3 linked regions of the Arabidopsis thaliana genome follow. The protein of the gene in region 2 interacts with the protein of the main gene of each other region in a pairwise test. Each region holds a gene or a part of one and is shown on either strand. Other genes may lie near its edges.

Region 1 (8,011 bases), on a different chromosome or scaffold from region 2:
GTGCTTGAATCTTTTATGTATAAACAAAATATAAATGGTACTTATAAAACTGTTTTACCATGGTAAGATGGTTTCCACGTAGTTTGCATGTACCACGTGTGAAAACCGAGTGTTGGGGAACCAAATGGCAGTGAGAGTATATTTGTATAATCGCGGACGGTGATATCACTAATATTATTTCAATAGTTGCAAATCATAATGAAAATAGGCCAGACACAGCAAAGTTTATGGGCCAAAGATTTCAATTTGGACCTAACAAATGTATGTAACAAAGGCTATAAAATTGAAGTGCCATACGAAACTAGACAATCAATTTCGCTTAGTATAATTATCTTTTTTAGCATAAATATAAAGATAACTAGAGAGATAAGGCAAAACTTTAAAAGATAATTGTGAGAAATAGATGATAACCCAAAGGTTTAGCAATCTCGAGAGTAAAAGAAAGAAACCATAAAACAATCCTCTGAAAACGAACAACAAAGTTGCTTACTACAAAATATCAAAAAGCAGATTGATTCATAGCTAAAACGGTGCGACTTCAGATTTACTCTTCGTCATCACCGTCTGCATCACCGCCACCTGAGGCTTTCTTGGAGGCAGACTTCTCGTTCCTTCTCTTCACTCTTCCTGGACGGCCACCACCGAAGGGACTGGTGAGGGCAAAGTCAATGTGCTTCTGTGAATCAAGTCTCACCATGAATGATGGAATGTTCACCAATTGCTTTCCAACCCTACAACAACACCCGAAACAAATATGAGTACCCAATTTTTAAGATCATATCAAAACACACTTCATATTAAGCCACTCAAGAGGCACAAGTTATCAAGACTTGCGTGAACTTAAGAGCAACCAATAAAACGTTTGAAGAAAGATCAAACCAAAAGACAGTACAAACTCATGAAAGACTACAATCTGTTAGACCAAAGAGACAGTGTTTAAAGAAGTGTAACACAAAGCCGAATCATTCAAAGATAATCATGAAATGGAAACAGAGAAAATGTTAATTTCATTTCAGATCCTATCAATTGATATAACAAAGATAATTCATACACAAGCACAAATAAATCGAAGAGATGCAATACCTGATATGCCTCTGCCTGATGAGGACACGAGAGTGATGGATAGACTTAGCCATACCAGACTTGAACACAATAGTCTGAAGACGACGCTCAAGAAAGTTCTCAACAGTCAAAGCCAAGACGTAATCGAGCTTGTTCTGGCTCTCATCAAGAAGCCCGTAACGGTTCATCCTACGGAGCAAAGCCTCACCTTCAAAGATCCTTCTTGGACTCTTCTCATCAAGAGTCAAAAGATCTCTAGCAGCATTACGGATACGGCTAAGAGAGTACTGCACTCTCCAGAGCTCACGCTTGTTACGCAGACCATACTCACCAACCAGCTTCAATTCAGAATCAAGACGCTCCTTCTCGTAAGGACGACGTGGTCCCTTGAAGGTCTTTCCATCTATTCAACAACAAACACACACATTCATACAAAATTATCAGCATAAAGGTTAGATCTTTGAGGCTCGTATCTAAGATTGATTCATTTCAGAAACTAAAACCTCAAAAGTTACAACAACCCAGATTCACAATCTATATATATAACACAATCAAAAACCTCAGATAATCCCTAATCTATCATTTGATATTGAGAGAAATCACTACGTAGATCGAATCGAAAATGAGCTGTGATATAAACGACGAAAAGGAGAGAAGAAGCTTACAGTTGCGGTAGTAGCAAACGTGCACCATATTTTCGTCTCCTTACTGCAAATTCGGCGATCTGAATAACTAGGGCACGCAGAGAGGAACGAAAGAGACGAATGAACTAATTTATAGGATTTCTTAAAACCCTAACGCTACACTCTCACTTTCTTTATTGGGCCTTTACGAATTAAGGCTTTATATTGGGCCTTTACGAATTATGGCTTTATATTGGGCCCGTTTTGAGATGTCGATTTATTTTTGAGTCTTGCGCTTGGGCTCGAATTTATTTTCTTAATCATAAAATTATTTTTATGCACTGAATAGTGGTACCTAGAAATGTCATTTGAACAAAAAAAAAAATGTCATTTTACATGTCTTTTGGCATTTAGATTATATCATTAAAAAAGTTGATGAAAAAAAAAAGATTATATCGTAAAAACAAATAATTGCAATATTTTGTTGAGATGTTTTACCAGTCTTGCCTTAATAGAACAGCAAGAATATATTATAAGTGAGTGGTGTCTCCAATCATATTAACCTAACGTAGTGCCTAATCTTACCAACTCTTAGTTGTATCTTTTACCATTTCAACAAATAAACAAACAGGTGTTAACTACTAGCATCGAAAATAAACACACAAAATAGTAACTGTGTTTTCATGTTTTTGAGTTATCTACATATACATTTTTGCAGCCACTATATGAAATAAATCTTCAAGTTGAGACTTATTTACAGTGGTTGTCACTGGCATTTAATAATTATTTTTGATAATTAGAAAGTAAATTTTCGAATTAAATATTTGACATTTAACTATCTTCTCAAAATCTCTCTACAATAACTACACGATTAGTTACTAAAATAAAACTTCTAAAATATTTAACATCATTTAAAAATTACAAAATTATCATTTTTGATATTGCTTTTTTTGCATGACTATAACAATTCCATTATACGCATCAACCCACATAGATATTTTATAGCAGTTAATTATTACAAAATTACAAAATATTTAGACAATGATTTATAAACATATCATAAATAAGATCAACATTAATAAAATAAATAGTTTTTTTTACTTAATAACAATTGTAAACTATAAAATAAAAATATTTTATAGATAGATACAATTTGTAAACTTTTATATATACTAACTTAAAAAAAAAAAAATTGTCCTTGCGGTATACCGCGGGTTAAAAATCTAGTAATGTCACATAATTGCAACAAATTCCCTCATTTCTTTCATAAATTTCTATATAAAGAAAAAAAGTAAAAATAAAAAAGCAAACTGATATAGAATTTAGAAAACAATTGGATTAATTGACTTTGTTATTCGGTTTTAGGAGGTTACTCATTTATCTTTCTTCTCACATTTGGTCGAAAGATACAACTCAAATCACCTCTCTAACAAAGATAAACTACTAACAAGAGTACAAACTACAAGACATAACAAAACAAAGTGGAATAGAAAAAAGATTTTGACCCGTTGACTAAAAATAAAAAATCTTCAAAACACAGAGAAGAAAAACCAAAAAAGAATTAGCCTCTAAAACGACGACGCTTTTTCAACGCTTTCCATTCTTTTCCTCACGTCGAAGAAAACGACCCATTTGTCGGAACAACACTCTGACGACTATCTCCTACTCCTCCTACTACTACTCCGCCGTTAGCTCTTCTAGCGCCGCTGCGTCCTGAAATCTTGTTGTTATGCATCCACACTTTGAAAACGCTTTTATCAACTCCAATCTCCCGACAAAACTCCTTAACCACCACGTCATCAGCTTTCGGCATCCTCCACCCAACTCTCTCCGAGAACTCGAACATCTTCTCCTTCTGATACTGACTAAACTTCGTCCTAAAACGTTTCCTAGACATTGGAACCGCCGTGTTAGCTCCTCCTCTTCCTCCAGAGAGTGCGAGAAGCATGTAAGAAGACGAGATCGGCGGTGGAGAAGCTGAATCATCGTCGTCTGGACTACGAATCCCCGCCAGATGAGGAGGAGGCGGTGGAGGAAGCTGGTGACGGTTGTGAGGTCGAAATTCGATCGCAGGGACGATGGCAGAGAGAGAAGATGGATCCTCCTCACGGCGGTGGAAGTTACGGTGGCAACCACAAGCAGCGCACGTTAGTGAAGCGGGGTCATTGGAGTTAAACGACGGTGACGGCATAAACTCGCCGCATCCGTCTAAAGCGTGACCGCCGATACCTGCTGCGTGATTCTTTAGACATTCTTTATAAGTCGCAACCGCAACCGCTTCAGATGCAAGATGATGGTGGTGGCAGCGTTTGCCGTTTGAGAAAGAAATAGGCTTCGCGGGCTGGATCCGGATCGGAGCTTCGATTTCGGGTTGTCGTGAATCCAAGTCGGATACTATAGTAGTTGTAGTAGCTATTACATCCATGACAACTCAAAACATTTAGGGTTTCGAAAAACAAGAAGAAGAAATGTTTTGTAAACTTGGGTTTTGGTTATTGTAATACAAATAAGATTTAAGAAACAAGAAGTATTATAATTTTCTAGAGATGGAGGAAGAAGAAGAATAGATGATAGAAGTAAAGATAAGGTAAAGATTGCACTAAACAAAACTGTTTTTAAATTGTAAACTCGAAATCTTTGGGATGGGTTTATGTATTTGGGAGAGATAAGATTAGAAAAGGGGAAATTTAAAACTATGTATTATTTACTCAAGTCTCTCATGGAGGAAGAAAGAGATGAGAAGTTGAAGACTGTTGATAATGAGAAATCCAAGTTGTGTGGTTGAGATTCATAATCATTATGTGTTTTTTTTTTTTTGGTTGAATATTTTTTTTTAACCATGGTTTGTTGACCCCATCTAGGGTTAATGAAAAAAGATAAGTGTAATAAATATAGGCTAATAAATAGAGTTCATAGAACAGCATCTAATGTGAGTCATGTCTTTTTCTTTTTGCTAAATTTGTATCTCCATGACGTTGACAACTTTAATAATATATACTCCAATTTTATATCAATATTAATCTTTTTTGCTACCTTTCAAATTTCAATTATTATTATTTCTCGTTATTTTTTTTTATTTTTTTTTCTCCTTATTTAAGCTGAAAATTTCGTGTGGAAGTAAAGCATGAATATAATTAAGGTTGATTCGGGTTGTTGATTCAATGATGTTAACTAAAGACAAAAGTTAATATTTCGTATTGTTGATCAAAAGCAATGTTTATCCAAAAATGTTAAAATCTCGACCTTCCCTAGTTTTATAGTTCATGGTTTGTCTTCAATCTTATGTCGAAAAAACTATCAACTTACAATCTTAAAAGTTACTCTACTACCAAATTTTTGCAAAAAAAACTATGACTAGCTTAATTTATTTACTTCTCAACTACTCCACTAATTAACTCAAAAATGTTTATTGACTATACATGTTGACGGTTAAAGTGGCCTTAAGAAAAGGAGACCACAACTAAAAAAGCTGACACGAGCAGTGGTGAAGAACGATGCCGTTTACTCCAAACTTCTTTAAAGCTGTATAAAAAAGTCTTTAATCAGAGAGGTGTAGACCAAACCTAAGATCGTTTGCAAATCCATTACTAATAATAAGTGATAAACTAACAATTCAAAGCAAAAACTCCATAAATAATTGATAGTATACCAATTTTTTTAGGAGATTTGCTAAAATATGACCGATAAATTTTATCAAAAAATTCAGACAAATTTTATGGAAGTTTTAATTTTGATGCTCTAAATCCAACGGTTGAATTCTCCGTCAAAATTTTGAATTTTAACGGGTTTCTAAAATGTCGTCTGTTTTCTTATAGTAGTAACGTAATTGTAAATCTCAACTCTTAAAACTTTTTCTTTCTTTTGACTAATGATGATATGAAATTGTCTAAATACCAAAAACAGCTAACACGCGTACATATCTTGCAACATGGCGCTACCTAATCAAACCATGTTCGTCTGTTATGGAAGACAATTCTCTTCTTCTCAAATACATTGAACTTTAACATTATACTTTAATTAATGTAGGTATATATTACGACTTGCACGACTTACCATAGCCAAAATAGGGAACCACCGTATCAACATTTCAAGCATTTAGATATAACTTGATTGTTGATTGGTCTTATTGTTACCGCACTACGATTATCTATAGATTTCATAGACAACAAAATAATATAACACATATATTATTGTTTTAGAAATAGTTATAAGGCTTTTTACTCTTTAGTTAGGAAGAATAAGGCAAACCGACATTAAATAAGCTTTATGCCCATAACAAGGATAATATTAATTAGTTTTTTTTTTTCAGGATATATTATCTGACGCAATTATTTGATGATCTATCTGTGATTTTTTCTTTCTTTCTAAAATCTATTATATGTTATGCCTGTATATGTTTTATATATACACATATCCTACTTTATGTATGTGTGCAAATGCAATTGGAAGGATTTATCATATACGATGAATGTATCGCATGGGTGGTTAGTATGCATTAATATGGACTGTTCTTAAGATTTGTGAATAAAGAAAAAAACAATGACATCTTCTTCTTCCTTTTTTTGTGTTATAAACGAAATGATTTTATTTTAATTGTATTGTTTTTGAATAGGAATGTGTAAAATTACAAGAAAATAATAATTCAAAAACTAAATATTGATGTGCATGGCAACTTGAGAAGTATTTGAGGAAACTTTAATGGCTAAAACAAGTTGGCTCTTGATTTCACATTATGCCAAAAACAAAGCTGGTTCGTCCATATATGATAATATGAGAGAAATTTATGTTTGAAATTTTAATTGAAATTTTAAACCCGATAGGATAAATATGTTTCTGATTCAATGAACGGATCTAGCCGCGTTGACGGGCCAGAGCCTGAGGCTTAGAATGTTGGCCCATTATTCGATGAGTTTATAACGGGCCGGGAAAACATTATCTCAGACTGTTACTTGTCTGTTTTGCGTAACACATATGAGAGAAACTCAGACTTGATTAACATCTATTTCCGAATAAAACTTGATTTGTTGAATCCAAACAAAGCCCTTCATCAAAATCCAGACAAAGACTAGAGGGAAACAAAACAGCAGATGTTATTGAATTGAGTGGTTCTGCTCTAAGATAGCATCATCTTTTACTCGAGAGATCACATGATCTAAAGGAAATGAAAACCACGTTTAGATTGTTGCAATCAGTATTCACGACTATGAAGCTGTCTTCAACTTAGTCGATTGAGCAGCTGCAGCTTTTGTGTAGATAGGGTGAAGAACATGACCACCTGTTGGATCAACATGAATCCATTTGCGTCCTGTAATCTTGCTTTTCTCGAACCTGACTCGTCCTTCCTTCAATGCAAACAGAGTATGGTCCTTACCAATCCCCACATAGTCTCCAGGATGAAACCGAGTTCCCCGTTGACGAACTATGATGTTTCCTGGTATCACACTCTGCAAAATCACACACACACACAGGCAAACATTATTTTCTTCACACAGACCAAGACTGATTTGATTATCAAAATCTTATCTCGCTTGTTATTTATTTTCTTACCTCTCCTCCGAATTTCTTAACACCGAGAAACTTGGGATTAGAGTCACGACCGTTCTTTGTAGAACCAGCAGTTTTCTTAGTAGCCCAACGCTTGAAGACCAAACTCAAGCCACTTGAAGAACCATCTTTAACATCCCCAAAACAAGAACAACAGCAACAATTACACAAATGAGTTAACTAGTTAAGATCATCAAAATATAGATTTTGAAAAGCGCAAATCTATACCGGAAATGCTACTGCCACTATAAGCAGGAACCTCAGTGATCAGTTCCCTCAAACTAACTCTTCTGCAAATGGATGCTGCTGAGTTTAAGAAATTCATTTTTTTCAGGAATCTGCAAGCAACAAAGAGCAATTCAAACATTAATCATTCAAGTAGAATCAAATCAATACTATACAAACCATTTCATCAAATCTTCTCGAGCAAATGGAGTTTTTTCATTCACACTCGAAACTCCACCATTGTCACAAACGTATTAACCTATTGACCTCAAAACCAATTACATTTCCGATCCGATTCCAACTCTCGAATGATACGGTAATAAGAAAGGAGGATACTTACCGGAAAATTTCGATTTCGATTAATTGCGAACGATGACAAGCGTGGCCGGAGATGACGACGGCGAGTAAAATGGCGTCGGCGACGGAAGCGCGATTAGGATGGAAGGGCCTAACTCCAAAACCCCTATTTGTCAAGTGTGAACTATACACGCCCGGAGGGTCCTCATGTTTTCATTTGTTTACATAACGACCCCTACATTTTCATTTGGATCAAAATT
Region 2 (8,288 bases):
AAAGAAAGTGGAATGTGGGATTTGAGATCTAATAGTCCGGTCATCTACTTTAAGTAGATGTATATAACACCATATATGTTATGATTTGTGTTCATTTATTATATTATTTGTGACAATTCTTAGTGATCCGATTGATCGATCTATAAGAGCTATTTTCTTTTTCTCCCCCTTGTAATTTTTTAATTGATCTATAAATTTAAAATTTCAAAGAAAAATAACATTGGTTATAGAACTACTTTGTTTATAATGTATGGAAGTTTGTTTTAAATTTTTAGCACTTACAACTATTTTTAGAAAAGTTCAGTCGTCATTTAGTATTTTTACGGAGTATTCATTGAATGAAAGAAATTTTGGTCCACATCTATATATATTTGGGACAAAGAAGTCCACATGATTTCTTTTAACCAAATTTTTCGTGTCAAAGTTCATGTTTTGCTTAGAGTTGAGTTACAATCATATGGTTACGTGATACACTAATATATAACCACATCAACCATGTGCTTTTTTGGCCATCTTTTTGTTTATCGGTTATAACATACAGGTTATGTAACGTAATAATTAGTCTTTTGTTTTTTGGTCAACAGTCTTGTGTTATTCTATTGTTAACACAACGTTTATCATGTACTAATGCAAGTCCTAGTCTTTGTTAATTTTTTTAAAACGGGACGAAAGTTTGAATTTTTCATATCGGCAACTTAACTAAATAATGCAAAGTCATTATAGTATATTATATCAACAAAACTACAGTATATTAAGACAATCGAACTCTCTCTCTACAATAACCACAAACAACAACACTTCTCTTGGCGATATCTTTCGCATCAACATCATTAATTTTCAACTTTGATCGCCACCAAAAAGAACAATAACCCAATAATGCAATTGCTAAGAACCCTAACCACAAGAACAAGGAGCCGTCGCAGTGGATACGAGTGTGTAACCAAGCATTCCAACTTTAGCTTACTCGGAGCAAAGCTAAGGAGCTCACGACCGTTCCTTACTATGCTCCATATCGATAGGCTTGGTGGAGACTTTCCTGCGATTTTGGAAAAGCTTCCACGCCAAAAACCAAATAAGACAGTGGTGACAAGCAAATTGAGCCATCCAATCTTCACTCATGTTATTTACATATATATGTTATTTATAAAAATTTACATCGATTCAGTTAGCCTGATAAAGTAATCATTTCACTGTTTTTATTTTATTTTAATCATTTTGATGTATTTTTCTAATTTTTGAGTAAATAATTCATCTTAAGTTTTTTAATTATTATAAATAGTTATATTATTTAACGCTTATTTACGATTACTTATTTTATAAAGAAATAAAAAATAATAATTATTTTCTTATTTAAATAGACAGAAAACTAATGTTTATTTGGTACTTTATATAGTCGTTAAATGAACTGTAAATTCAACTAATATTCACGAAATCTATATATATATATTAATATATATATATATATATATATAATAAGTTATAACATCATATTATATAATCTTTGTAATATAAAAAAAATTACTTAAGAAAATAAATAACATAATAACAGATTAACATTAGAGTGTCTTTGGCCTTAAGTCAGATTAAGTTTCTCATTAGTGACATATCAACGTAAGAGAACGTCCTTCATCTATTATATATTGGTGTATCTAGCAAAATTCACAAGTAAGTCAATTAGTATATCAACCAAAAACATTGGAGTGTCTTTTACTTAGTCGAATTAAGTTTCTCATCCATGGCCTTATTTTTCTTAAGTTGGTAAAAAGCTTTGGATTGTTTTTTTCTTAGTTGGATTACAACTTACAAGCACACATGAAAAATAAAGGGTGAAGAATAAAGTTTTTCAGGAGGAATATTTCTTAAATAATAAAAATAAGGGAACTTAGGAATAAGGAATAATAGAAATGGAGATGAGACGAGCGAGTGGTTTCTTAATCAGGGCCATGCAGCAGAAGCAGAAGCAGGAGCAGCACATGCTCCATTTCTCTAACTCATCCACCTTTATCAACATTGATTCTCTAAGATCATCCATCAATATAGATATGTCTTTTTCATGTTTACAATATCTGCGTGGGAATATCGTGTTCTCTCCTGATATTTTTTCTAGTCCGGATGATACTGACACATGTGACATATCTAAATATGCTCTTTAAAAAAAAACTTAAATCTATGGTTTCGTTTCTATCTACCGACGATAAAGATTTTCGAGAATATTATATCATCTTAGCATCTATGGACTATTGTCCGTCTAGATTAAATGGGAGCTGTAATTGTTTATTCTTCAAATATAAAAATATTTCATGTATGCTTTTTTTCAAATTAACATTTAGATTTCATGATTTTTATATAATTAACTTCTACTTTAAACATTCCGCAATTCTCCTAGAAAAAAGTTACAGCACTAATCTAAGGGAACATAAATCAGTACCCTTGATATTCGGTTTAACTGTGTATGTTCTACTCTGATTCTCTATTAGATGTTACATACTCTTTAATTAAACTTCATAGTAGATAATGATATACAAAAAGTCTTATGGTCTCCTTCCACTGGGTATAAAACTATATATATTCTAAATCAACTTATTATATTTTCGTTTGGATCTTTAATAAAATCTTCTCTTTATAGCAATGTGCACTGGATAATGCGGTTGCGGCCACTTTATTGGTGATGACCAATTAAGCCATAAAACCAGGACAATTTATATTCTTTTGATTTGATTATATACATCATGCATAAACTATAGTGCCACATTTCTTTAGAAATGCATTTAAAACATTTGATACCTTCGCATTATGTCAAGACTAAGACTAACGCTTTTTAATAAATTATAATTACAAGAAGCTTTAATTATGAAAGTTATTACTATATGTTATCCACAGAATTAGCTAAGAGCGGAAATTAGTATGTGTTGAGTCATATTTTCTACATGTAAATGACTTTGCAACATAAAAATAAATATCACAACTCTTTTTTTTGGAGGTAAAGAAGAGATCATAACTTATTACAAAGTGAAGTGATTCCAAAGGCATATCTTCCGTTCTGTCTAATCTTATTCTTTGTTTTAAACCCCTCCATGCACTCCTCTTGTTTATATATTTATTGCTTCTTCTCTAAGTTTGTTGAGTCCTAATCATCTCTCTATCTAGCAACGTATAAATATAAAGAGAGAGAGCAGAGAAATGGGTTTCGGCTCCTTCATATCTACCATCACTTACTGTTTGTTCTTTCGCTATCCACATAAGAAGCCAAAGTTCAAAAGTGTGAGCCACCTCAACCATTACCACACCATGCCAATGGCTCGTCCACTTTCTTTACAGGTATTCTCTTTCCTTTTTATGTATCTATATAGTATAATCGACCATAATTTTCATGTATCTATGTAGTTTTAGTCTCAAATTGACTCTATGATCATGATATTAGTTTTTCATTAAAATAGAATAAATTTTGGTAACAATTATCTTTCAAACCGTTATTATTCTGATACATGCCTAATTGAACGAAGAGTGCAAATGATTTTTGTTTTTAGAGAAAGGTATGACTTTGTTAGGTTTGTGATGATGGTAGCTAGAGCGAATTAAGTTGCTTTTTTTTTTTAGCTAAACATAAAGATCAAAGTTCAAACTATAGTTAGCTGATCTCCTCTAATTTTGTAAATAAGTTGGCAAAACAGATTCTCGATCGCAAAAAGAATATTAAAGTACTCATTGTGCTCATTTTTTTTTTTCTCTTTTGTTAGTTAAAAAATGTCTTTTCAATTTTTATTGATTCGTTTAGGGGAATCGGACAAAACTGAAACGGAATGTCATAAGTTTGTCTCACTAGTGGATGTTACTATATGTGATTATAATATCCTTTGGCTGATTCAGCAGAGAGTTGGTCATTTAAATAATTATTCTTCTAATTAATTACCTTTTTCTTTATGGACATATATCACATATTAATACTAATTGTTTTTGAAGCAGTCATATTAGTTCTAATTAGTTTGTAATATATGAATGGTGCTAATTAACAGACGATAGACCTGAAAGTAAGGATGTGTTGCAGTGGATGTGAGAGGGTTGTCAAGCATGCCATTTACAAGCTGAGAGGTAATGTTATAATTCAGAGTGTTTTCGAAAATAACTAATTTCTTTTCTTCCATAAAATATTTTCGTTAAATTAACGAATATTAAATTTTATATTATAAATTATGGTTATAGAATAATAACTTTATATTTTTCATAAAAAATTGTAATATGTTTTTTGTTTTGCTAAAACACTCCTATATAGAAAAGGGTAATATTGTGAATATATCAAACTAGTAACTAAACGGGCGTTGTTTTGGTGGTGAAGGGGTGGACTCGGTGGAGGTGAACCTAGAGATGGAGAGAGTAACGGTGGTTGGGTACGTAGAGAGGAAGAAGGTGCTCAAGGCGGTGAGAAGAGCCGGTAAACGAGCCGAGTTCTGGCCCTACCCGGACATGCCTCGCTACTTCACTTCCTCTGACCATTACTTCAAAGATACCACCCGCGAGTTTAGGGAGAGCTACAACTACTATCGCCATGGCTACAACCTTAGTGACCGTCACGGTAACATTCACGTCACCAACCGTGGTGACGACAAAATGAGCAACTTTTTCAACGACGACAACGTCCACGCATGTAGCCTTATGTAATTTCCTCACTTCTTTTTAGGTATCTATGTGTTTATATTTGTTGTATCATTTATAGGGTTGATTGAATAGCTTTTATGCATAAGCGTAAGTGAGACAAGTAAAAAGGAACACAATGCTTTATTAGTCTTGGGCATTCGTTTTTTTTAGGTTCGGTTTATCTGTTATTCGGTTATCCAAAAATATTACCGGCTGAACCGTAAAACAATTCTGTTCGGTTCGGTTTGGAATTAGTAAACTGTACATGGTATCAAAGTTTGGTCCTTTTCCTATAAAACTATACATAAACATGCTATAAGCCAGATGGTATATACTAAATTTGTGGCCACTGTTGAAATTGCTAATGGTCTAATGAGATAATATGCATTGTTTGTTTATGACCGATCCTCTTTCATTTTACATGAAAATGTCCATAGTTCAACCATTTGTTTTTGCCTCTAGGCCTCTGAAACAGAAAAAATCCGAACAAACAACGTCTATCTTGAACAAACCGAACCTATCGCAATCTGTCTCTCTGTTTGTCTATCTTGCATTCTCTTACGATCAGATTGTGTTGAATGAAGCTTTGAAAATTGAAAGCTTCAAACTTCTTCTATTGTCTATAGTGCATATGGGGAAAAAAAATGCTTGGGCTCTTGTGTTTTATTTTGGGCCTGAACGAACAACATACACTAATAATACCACCGCCCCACTAAGAGAGAGGCAAATTTTCAATACTATTATTCTAGAATGATACACCATTTTATATCAAAAATCTAGATTCTCTTCTTTCTTTTTTTAATAAAGTTTAAATAAACCTAACATGTTTTTTCATATATTTTTTGTTAAAAATGATTTTTTCATATTGATCTCTTTTTTCTTAATTGAAGAAATCGGATGGTCGAATCTTAGAGCATCATTATTGGTAAGTTCTTAGATTAGTTCTTAAAATTTTTTTTTGTGATTGATTATTAAGAACGCCTCACTTTAACTCTTATATAAGAGTTAAAGTGAGGCGTTCTTATCCTAAGAAATAATTTAAAAGCTTACCAATAAAGATGCTCTTAGTACACTAAAGACGATAAAAATGATTCGTCAAAAAGGTTTTGATTGGAAAACACTGAAATGTAAAGAAATGTAAATAATTAATATTCCACTCGTTTTTTTTAACAAAGTAAACTAAATTATCCATTTTGAAAATAAAGATATTCCAAAAGAGTAAAATAACAAAAATAATATTTTGAGTCGATGTTATTTGACGTATTCGTCGAATATGTTCTTCATCGAACGGAACAAATCAAACAAAAAAAGAAGCAAGTGGATCCGTCACGTGTCACTTTACTATTGACCTCTGACGTGTACACGGACGTCAAGTAATTTCCTTGCACCGCACGCTTCCTTCCTCTGCAAGTCTCTTACTTTTTTTCGCTTCCCTCAAAATGTCTCTTATTAATTTTCTATCCTTAAATGTGAAACAGACAAAAGTGTTTGCCATGTGCTTCTATAAAGCCTATCTTCTATTTCTCACATTTTTAACTCATCACTTCTAAAACCTTTTCTCAAATCTCTCTCACTCTCTTTCACCGGAATAAAATTCTCTAGGTCATCGGAAATTTTTTACTTCAGCCGACAATGTTTCCTTCATCAGATTTCTCTTTCTCACCGTCGTCGCTGTTCTCAGCGTACGCATCTTTAACCGGATTCTTGATGCTCTTTAGATCGATGCTCCATGATTTCGTACCGGAGAAGCTTCGATCTTACTTCTCCAGCTTACTCGACCGGTTTTTCACTCCGAAATCAAAGTATCTCACTGTGATCATCGACGAGAACTTCGGATTGAACCGGAATCAAGTCTTCGACGCGGCGGAGATGTATCTCAGGAGCAAGATCGGACCGGAAACAGAGCGGTTGCGAGTTGGTAAGATCCCAAAACAGAAGCATTTCACAATCTCTATCGAAAGAGGCGAAGAGATCCTCGATACTTTCGAGGAGTCGGAGGTGAAATGGAGTTATGTTCAATCGGAGAACGAGAAAGGAGATAAAGTGAAACGTTACTACGAGCTCACATTCGAGAAGAAGCTTAGAGACAAAGTCTTGAACTCTTATTTAACCCACGTTGTAGCCGAATCCGAGGAGATCAAGAGGAATCTGAGAGTGGTGAAGCTTTATAGCAGAGATGTGTATGCTAGTGATGATGATGATGGAATGGCTGGTGGGAATTGGGGATGTATCAATCTCGAGCATCCGTCTACGTTCGATACGTTGGCGATGGATCCGAATGCGAAGAAGAAGATCATCGATGATTTGGAGAGGTTTTTGAAGAGGAAGGAGTTTTACAAAAGAGTTGGTAAAGCTTGGAAACGAGGTTACTTGTTGTATGGGCCACCAGGAACTGGTAAATCTAGTTTGATTGCTGCGATGGCGAATTATCTTAAGTTTGATGTGTTTGATCTTGAGCTTAGTAGTATTTATGACAATGGTGAGTTGAAGAGGGTTTTGTTATCTACGACGAATCGTTCGATTTTGGTTATTGAGGATATTGATTGTAATGCTGAAGTGAGAGATAGGGAAGCTGAGAATCAAGAAGATGAACAAATTAAGGGAAAGGTGAGATATCTTTTGGATTTGAGTTTGAGAGAATCTATTGGTTTTTAGTTCTGATTATGATATTGTCTTTGAGCAGGTGACTCTATCAGGGATTCTGAATTTCATTGATGGTTTATGGTCGAGTTTCGGAGATGAGAGAATCATTGTGTTCACGACGAATCACAAAGAACGGCTTGATCCTGCTCTGCTACGTCCTGGAAGAATGGATGTGCATATCAACATGTCTTATTGTACAGGTTTAGGATTTAGGACATTGGTCTCTAACTACCTTGGTTTAGATGGCTTAAACCATCCTCTTTGCGAGGAAATCGAGGCGCTGGTCGATTCTACTGAAGTTACTCCAGCTGAGTTAGCTGAAGAGCTGATGCAAGACGATGATACTGACGTTGTTCTTCGTGGAGTAATAAGCTTTGTTGAGAAGAGGAAGGTTGAGAGAAGCAAGACTAAGAAGGAGGTTTCTATTTGTAAAGCAACTGATGATGACGAAAAACAGAATGGTTCTTTGGGTTGTGTAAAGAAGAAGAAGAAAGGGGGTAAACAGAAAGGTAAAGGGAAAGGTAAAGGAAAGGCCAAAACTTATTTGATATAAGAGATAACTTTGAACAATATGATCTGTTGTGTTGTGTTGTGTAACATGGTAAATCAAACCTGTGTTCAACATTATGCCAAATAAATAAAGCTTTGTATGGTTCTAAACATTCTACTTTTGACTGAAGCTTCCGAGAAAATAGATTTTACGTCTCTGGAACTATTTTTACCAAAATTATCTCAAATTAGTCTTTTTTTTTTTGGCATACTAAACAGTCTCGACTTTAATAAAGAAACCAAACCAAACAAAACATAAGGAAGAAACAGAGGTGCATAAAGAATGGATGTGCATATCAACTCAATCTATTAAAGCTTGTAGGATCAACGTTTTTAATTTCGGGTGGGTTAGGAGTAGTGATCTCTTAATCACGAATTCAAATACCTAATCGGGTTTACCATTCAAAGTAGACAATCTTAACCGTTCAACAATATTGGTATCTCTACTTCATTTTGGTATCTAA
Region 3 (7,689 bases), on a different chromosome or scaffold from region 2:
TACATATTTGTTTTCAAGATATTTCTTTGACCAAGTCCCCACTCTATTGTTTGCATTAGTTCGTATAAGTTTTGTTCTTTCTGCAATGCTTTTGACTCCCACCAAAACATGTCCTATGTATATAACATATCTCAAAAGTTTTGATTTTGCTACAACTTCACTATGCAACCTCTATTTTCACACAAATCACATTTGCACTTGAAAGGTAAACAATTCTGTCTTTCTAACAAATATCAAACTTATCATTTGAGTGAAAATGAAAATCTAAGAAATTGGAATTCTAAGGATTCTTCATGAACGTAGCCTTAAGATCAACCTTCAAGAAATTTACAATCACATGAAGATTTTAGTGGAACTAATACCTACATTGTGATGCGATCCAACTAATAATCGGTAGATCAACCTCTCAAAATCGAAGTATTACTTAGGCGCCATGAAAACCAGCGGAATACGAGGACTTACAGTTATTCTCCGAATACATCTTCCGGCGAGTTTAACTCCGCCGCCGGATCAGCAGTTTCCTCATACGGTGGGGAGGAGAATCATTGGCACCTAGCCGCAAGGAACGGCTCGCTACGACGGTTCAGTCGCCGAGGGCCTAACGGTGCTACCAGAGAGCTTAGTTTAGTTGTTAGGCCCAGTTCATAAAAATAACTCTCTTTGGGCCTAGGCCTTTAGATATTTTTTTATCCTGCCCAGCCTTGATGTGTTTGATTTGTGCTCGATGATTAAAGTTAAATCCATCTTTTAACTTTAAGAAAAAATTTGCATAAATTAATAGATTTATCGTTGTCCATCAATAAAATGGATTTATAATTTTACTATACAATTTTAATGATGGAAATATAAAAATAGTTTTTAAAAAAAATATGTATCTTGTTTGAATCTAATGTTAAATTGTATTCAAAAACAAAACAAAAAAACATTGATACATATGAATGTAAATTTTTCTTAAAATAAATTATTAAGAGATTCTATGATCTATCTTCACCTCTTCTTCTTAGTACGCTCAAACGGATTTCATGTTCTTGTCAATCAATTTAACGATTTTCTTCGTGGTCGAAGATTGGTCTCGTGCCTCCTCTCATTTCTTTATCACTAAATAAAGAGTATCGTGTTTTGAAACAGTACTTGGGAATAAATTTTGTTGTGGAATCAAGATCTTTACTCGCAAGCTCTCTCGTGATATCCTTCTATTTTGTCTGAGTTATCAGCTCTTCCCACACCTTTCTCGAATACTGGCATTGAAAAAACAAATGCTCTCTCGTCTCCAACGGATTTTTACAAAATACGCAATTTGTATCCGCATTTTGGTTCCATTTAATCATTCTTTATTATGTTGCAACTTTGCTTTTCACAACCAGTCAAGTGACAACATCATACTTTGGAGTAGCTTTGGAAAAACTAACTTCTTTGTATCCTTGCATCTCCGGTTTAGCTATGCATATTTGTGACCACGTCTCTTTAGAGACAAATTGCTTACGGTAGTTATCGTTTTTTATCTAGTCTTTGTTTCTGTTTATTTTTCTAGTAGTGAATTTTAGCATTTGTTATTTATCTAATTAAGTCTTACTTTGTGTCATTTACCTACTTATTCAATAGGTATATACATAGATAGAAACGTTACGCAAAAATGACCCCATGATCATATGACATTTAAAATTTCGGCTACAAATGACTTTTTCTCCAACCTTAGTGGCCGGTTTGCGGGATGCGCGTGCTATTTCGGTCATTGACAAGATCGTTAGGAGATTGTTCTAATCCGTCTTTATGATTCTAATTGTGATACGAGTAAATAAATTGTTAAATCAAAGTCTCTGTCAACGAATTATTAGTAAAACAATAAATACGTTTATTTAATTATTTTTATTGTATGGTCAAATATCTCCCGATTGTTGTAAATTGGATTCTAATTAAGCGTGATTGGTGACTAGGTTTATGATAAACGACAAAACGTAACACCAACTGTTATTCATTTATTCTCCTCGCAAACAATGCTTTAATTAGTCTCATTTCAGGGATCAGACTCTTAACTATACATTAATGAATAATTTATATGCCTTTCAATAAGATTTTAAGTTAATTAAACGAGTATCCAAAGCTTAACGAAATGAATGTTGATGTCTGATTTGTTTTGTTACTTTAATTCTAAAGAGTAAAGACCTTAGTAATTATAATTAATAACAAAATTAGCCATGCAGTTTGATCTTACCAATAACATTCACATGTAGTAACATTGTAACTTATAAGAAAAGGTTCATCATTTTTTTCATGAATGGATCATCATAAAAGTAACAATAACTAGTCACAAAATGTTCCTTCAATTTTTATTTTTTTGATAGAAACTATATTTGTTGTAAAAACAAACCCTATAAGAATCGATATGGAAAATGGCTAATGAAGATTCAAAATAATTGTGGGGTACTTAGAAGAGGAAGACTTGAAGACATACACCACATAATTGTGACCCAAAAGCTAATCAATAACGTAAGCAAAATGCGAAAGAACACTAAATTTCGGCGCCACACTAATGACAAGAAGTGAGAATAAAAGGTCGGTAAGAGATAAGAGTCTTTCCAAAGGGTGGTTAAGGAATTTAGACATTTAAATTTCATGATTAATTACGAAACATGAAGTTTGGCAATTGTCACAACAAACTCTTCTTTGCTCCACGATTGAGTCAAGTATTAAGTATTCGTGCGAAAGAAGTTCTTTTAGAGGTGTTTTCGGTAATCTACAAAATCTTCTAGTTGTTTAGCACTTTTCCTTTTGGAACGAATTAGTACATTAGCATAAGTCAAATATTTCACTAGAACACGTAATACCTATACTAGTAAGAAATTTTATTGACTTTATTGTTTAGTTAGATTATCGTTATAGGAAAATTTACGATTTTAGACCTCTAGATAAGAAAATGGTCCCTAAACAGAATCAAAATTGAAAAGATTAAAACGTTTTAGTATAAAAATGCAGGGGTGATACAGTGAAATTAACAGAAGTATGGGGTGGTAACGTAAACTCTTAAAAATAAGAAACTGTAATATGTACAGTGGAATATGAAACTGCAGGGCAGCTGTAATTGTCCTTTAGTACGATGCATGTAATGGGCTATTGCCACGTATACACTTTGGACTCAAATCTTCCAACTAATCCCATCCTCTCCTTCGAATATATTCGATTAATTAAAATTTTATGTCACGCTCAGAAATTATTCATCTTTTTTATTTCTTTTACACAACAAGTTACCCACTGGTGAAAGTGAAAACCCATATCTTACAAATGTCCCGTAAAATCATTGCTTTCTGATAAGACCTCAGATTCAATATTTTATACAGGTTCAAAGTGTATAGTCTGTCTATATAACGTATGAATAGATATCAAAACTAGTGACTAAAATATTCAAAAAAATCTCTGTTTCACCAAAACAAGAAAAAAAAAAAGTAAAAAAGAAGTTGTGAATTTTCATTGATATACAGTGAGTGTTTTCTTTCTTTTGCTGTATGTTTTGGACGTTTGTGAGTAAGCACTTATTATTATTTTCCAAGTCCTAATTATATTTCATCACTGCCATGTTCTTTACCGATATAATTACATCATCGTCACATGCACTTACATAATTATCCTTTTTTAATAAATAAAATAAAACTACAAAACCTAATCTTCTCATTAATCACAAAAGCAAAAGATTTAAGTAAACACACTATAAAGACAGAACTAAACAAAAGCTATGGATTTGTCTTCCAAACCACAACAACAACTTCTAAACTCTCTTCCCATCGCCGGAGAACTAACTGTCACCGGAGAAATGGGTGTTTGTTACAAAGAGTGTTTGAAAAACCACGCGGCTAATCTCGGCGGCCATGCTCTCGACGGTTGCGGCGAGTTTATGCCGAGTCCCACGGCTACTTCCACCGATCCTTCTTCTCTCCGTTGCGCTGCTTGTGGCTGCCACCGTAACTTCCACCGCCGTGACCCTTCCGAGAATCTCAACTTCCTCACCGCGCCTCCGATTTCTTCTCCCTCCGGCACTGAGTCGCCGCCGTCTCGTCACGTGTCTTCTCCTGTTCCTTGCTCTTACTACACCTCAGCTCCTCCACATCACGTGATTCTCTCTCTCAGCTCCGGTTTCCCTGGACCGTCAGATCAAGATCCAACGGTGGTTAGGTCAGAGAACAGTTCAAGAGGAGCAATGAGGAAACGAACAAGAACCAAATTCACGCCGGAGCAGAAGATCAAGATGAGAGCCTTCGCAGAGAAAGCTGGTTGGAAAATCAACGGATGTGATGAAAAGTCGGTGAGAGAGTTTTGTAACGAAGTTGGGATTGAGAGAGGAGTTCTTAAAGTGTGGATGCATAACAACAAGTACTCACTTCTCAATGGCAAGATCAGAGAGATCGAACATGGCCTGTGTCTGAACACTCACAGCAATGATGGTGATGGGTCTTCATCTTCTTGAAGAAAGATTCAAGATTCGGGTTAAACCGAATTAGGATACTTTAATTTGGGAAAATATGAGCATTAACCGGTTTAAAATCATATAATAGTGTCTTTTCTCTAACATGTAATCGATCTTGATATAAATATTTATGCGGTTTGATCTTTTCTATTTTCATCACTTTGACAGAGATGTGGTCAGAGATCACAAATGGGTTTGGTAATAAATAAGTTTTTAAATCGGAGGTTGAAACGAATTTTGATAGACCATTTCTAATTATAGTAAGTGCATAAGCGCTAATTGTGATCGTAGAGATCAAAAGATTCGTTTCTTTGTTTACTTTCTGATTATTCAATGTTATCTTCTGTATTATTAGAAATAAATCTCCTGAACTTTAGAGATAGAGTAAGTAAAGTTTGCTTAATGAAGATACGACGACGTGGTTATTACGAATTGCAACAAACTATGGCGTGGCGGAATATAATTAGGTCACTGGGCGGCACATTTTTGTTGTTAATTTATATGATATGATTAAAAGTTATTAAAATGCTGGCTTATCTCTTTCCATTTAGGGATAAGCTTTGGCAACACCAATCTTGCTTATTTATCCTAATTAAGTACAATGCAGATGTTACGATTACTAAAATATCTACTATGTGCAATGATTTGGCTCTTCCCGCACCACTGATATTAAAAATTCGTTTTTTTTCTTTCATTCATCATGTATTAACGAATCATAGCGAATGCTTTATCACGTATAAATGGTCGTAAGTTCAATGCCGGAGACAAAGTATTTTACCATGTATGTACGAAGTAACGAAGCCCAAGCCTTAACAAAAGGCCGGTACGAATATCCATGCCAGATAGATCAATGTATGCAAAAGCTCTATGTAGATACGAGTAACTGCATGCAATGATTAATGATCAATATATGGTACACAAATTGTTTAACATGCATTTGGCGGATAAAATAATTTACATTATAGATCGGTATATGTGTTTATGGTTGGATGATTGAATTTTTTGTATGCTACTAATTAAGATTCCGATTGGACAATATTCCAATACCTAGCTAATATCGATTTTAGATGTTAGTGGTCCGATTAATTGATGATGTAGATATCAAATTCTTATATCAGTGGATCAAAAATATGATACACGAAGACATGTTACATAATGATGAAAAAAGTAGCAACGGATAATCCCCATACCAACAGTATGTAACATGTCTTCGTGTATCACATTTTTTAGATGATATTTCAAAAAAAAAGGTTTTTATTAGTTAGATGTTTTCTTTTGTTGGAATATGCAAAGAGGAAAGCAATGTAAAAAATTCCATTATAGCTAAAGCCCATTGTAGTTTTTGATTTTTGAGACTAGACCCAATAACACACTAAAGGACACTAATCGAACCAAGTATCTTAGGGATCCGTTAAGTCTTTCACCAACCGGAGACTTGGTCAAGTATAAGTATAACCGTTGAAGCATACCATAATCCAAGTCAAAGATCAGAATCCTTCAGTGGGGATCTTGCATCCAAAATCGATATGTATAGTCACGGTGGCAATTTTGAGCCAAGCCAGAGACGAAGCAGCTCAGGAAAACTCATCATGCTTTACTTTGGATTGGTAAGGACACTGATAAGTTGATCACCACATGGAACATCTTTATCATCTATCTAGTGTGTATTTATGTTAGATAAATGATTATCAAGAGAGGTCTTCTTGGGTTGGGAGATGTATAAGGTAGTGATTAAGATGTATATAAACACATTTAAATGAGTCAAATGGTTAAATAAGTCAATTTTTTGTTTGAAGTAAAATAAAATAAATAAGTTTCTTTTATAAAGTAAACAAAATCATTTTACCTTCTTTACAATTTATAAGATAAAACATGCACCAATCACCATTTATTAAATCTAGTTTCCATTTTACCTACATTAAAAGAGGATGGGATACGTCAGCATCAATGTCTGGTCCAAATTTATTGAGACACGTGTAGCCTTGCATCTCTATTGCACGTTGAAAATGAAACGAAAATGATAATTAATTTGCTTAACACCTAAAAGAAAAGGACTAATAAACGATCGCACTCGAAATTAAAAAGGAATTTTCAATTTCAACGTAACACGAGCATCTGCCAAATGCTCTCGTATAATAGTCAATCAATTTTGTTTTTGGACCGTGACTTGGCCATGTTTGGACGGTCGAAGACCAAAATCTCTCACGCGACTATCTACAATTCTACATGTTACCCAAACTCATTAATACACCTATAAGGCTACAAGTGTTCACCAGCAGCTACACATAACATGAAACTGCTGATATTTTTCGTTGGTCGCCCCCCCATAGGCATGTATGTCCGGGCTCGACCGTGACCCGATCATACCTTTACTTGATCTATATCTTCCAACTTTTCTAAATAGTTATGAAACGCTAATTATCTTTACTATTACAACTACTTTTTTTTTGTGATATAACTATAAATATCATTAAAAATGAAAAGTTTAGGGATTACAAAATGTAACACCTATAACTTTTTAAGTCAAAAAACAAGGCTACAAATATTTATGAAGACACCAAAGTGAAATCACCTAATCCAAAGTTGCATTAAATTTCTAAAATGCTTCATTTGTCTTCGAGGACTGATTACAGTTATGATATCTTTATCCATCAGCTCAAAAGTGGTATGGTGAGACGAGACTGTGAGATTGTGAAGAACATTATTCCACTGCTTCCAAATGTGATAAATTGTAGTTTGAGATGTTCGAACTACCCATTTAAATAATAAATAATAAATTCTTTAAAACTACTCAAATCCGAATTTTACTCGTTTAATAAATTATCCTATTTTAATAACAAATTACCATCATCATATCTCTTATTTGCATTTCACAAACATTATTTTTTAATTCTAAAATCTATATACTTTTACCAGCTTGGTATCCGATATTATCCTATTTTTGGCTTGTTCACCCAAATGTACAATCTGCAACTTTAGAAAAGAAATTAGGTTTAAAGATGATATTCATGAAAGAAAATCTCATATGTGACCAAAGAAAACAATTTAAGAAAATCTTAGATTATGACTTTAGAAAGATGATATTGTTTCTTTTCTGACAAAAAACCAAAAGAGATGATTTTATTAAATAACAGTTGAAACTCCAAGAGAAAAAGGGCAAGTGAACCAATGAATGTTTTGAAGCAAAGTGACAAATGGAGAAGAACCCGAAAAGCAATGTAAAGTTTGACTCT

The links.
Region 1: the proteins of AT2G18196 (region 2) and HB30 interact in a two-hybrid assay, tested with the Arabidopsis thaliana proteins (one study listed by BioGRID).
Region 3: the proteins of AT2G18196 (region 2) and ZFHD1 interact in a two-hybrid assay, tested with the Arabidopsis thaliana proteins (one study listed by BioGRID).

What each region holds. Positions count from the first base shown.
Region 1 is NC_003076.8:4,934,580-4,942,590, forward strand, and holds HB30 (homeobox protein 30), read right to left. Parts: upstream 4,629-8,011; 5' UTR 4,111-4,628; coding exon 3,295-4,110; 3' UTR 2,886-3,294; downstream 1-2,885. Other genes in the region: AT5G15200 (Ribosomal protein S4), read right to left, coding at 545-731, 1,084-1,465, 1,728-1,755; AT5G15220 (Ribosomal protein L27 family protein), read right to left, coding at 6,887-7,129, 7,233-7,357, 7,458-7,554. UniProt on the Arabidopsis thaliana protein: Putative transcription factor.
Region 2 is NC_003071.7:7,917,161-7,925,448, reverse strand, and holds AT2G18196 (Heavy metal transport/detoxification superfamily protein), read left to right. Parts: upstream 1-2,855; 5' UTR 2,856-3,180; coding exon 3,181-3,318; exon of another isoform or gene 3,319-4,013; coding exon 4,014-4,089; intron 4,090-4,333; coding exon 4,334-4,656; 3' UTR 4,657-5,009; downstream 5,010-8,288. Other genes in the region: AT2G18210 (uncharacterized protein), read left to right, coding at 1-57; AT2G18200 (uncharacterized protein), read left to right, coding at 877-1,182; AT2G18193 (P-loop containing nucleoside triphosphate hydrolases superfamily protein), read left to right, coding at 6,265-7,239, 7,316-7,828. UniProt on the Arabidopsis thaliana protein: Heavy-metal-binding protein.
Region 3 is NC_003070.9:26,178,743-26,186,431, forward strand, and holds ZFHD1 (zinc finger homeodomain 1), read left to right. Parts: upstream 1-3,413; 5' UTR 3,414-3,727; coding exon 3,728-4,456; 3' UTR 4,457-4,804; downstream 4,805-7,689. UniProt on the Arabidopsis thaliana protein: Transcription factor involved in the up-regulation of several stress-inducible genes. Acts as a transcriptional activator by interacting with MED25 and NAC proteins. Involved in increased drought tolerance.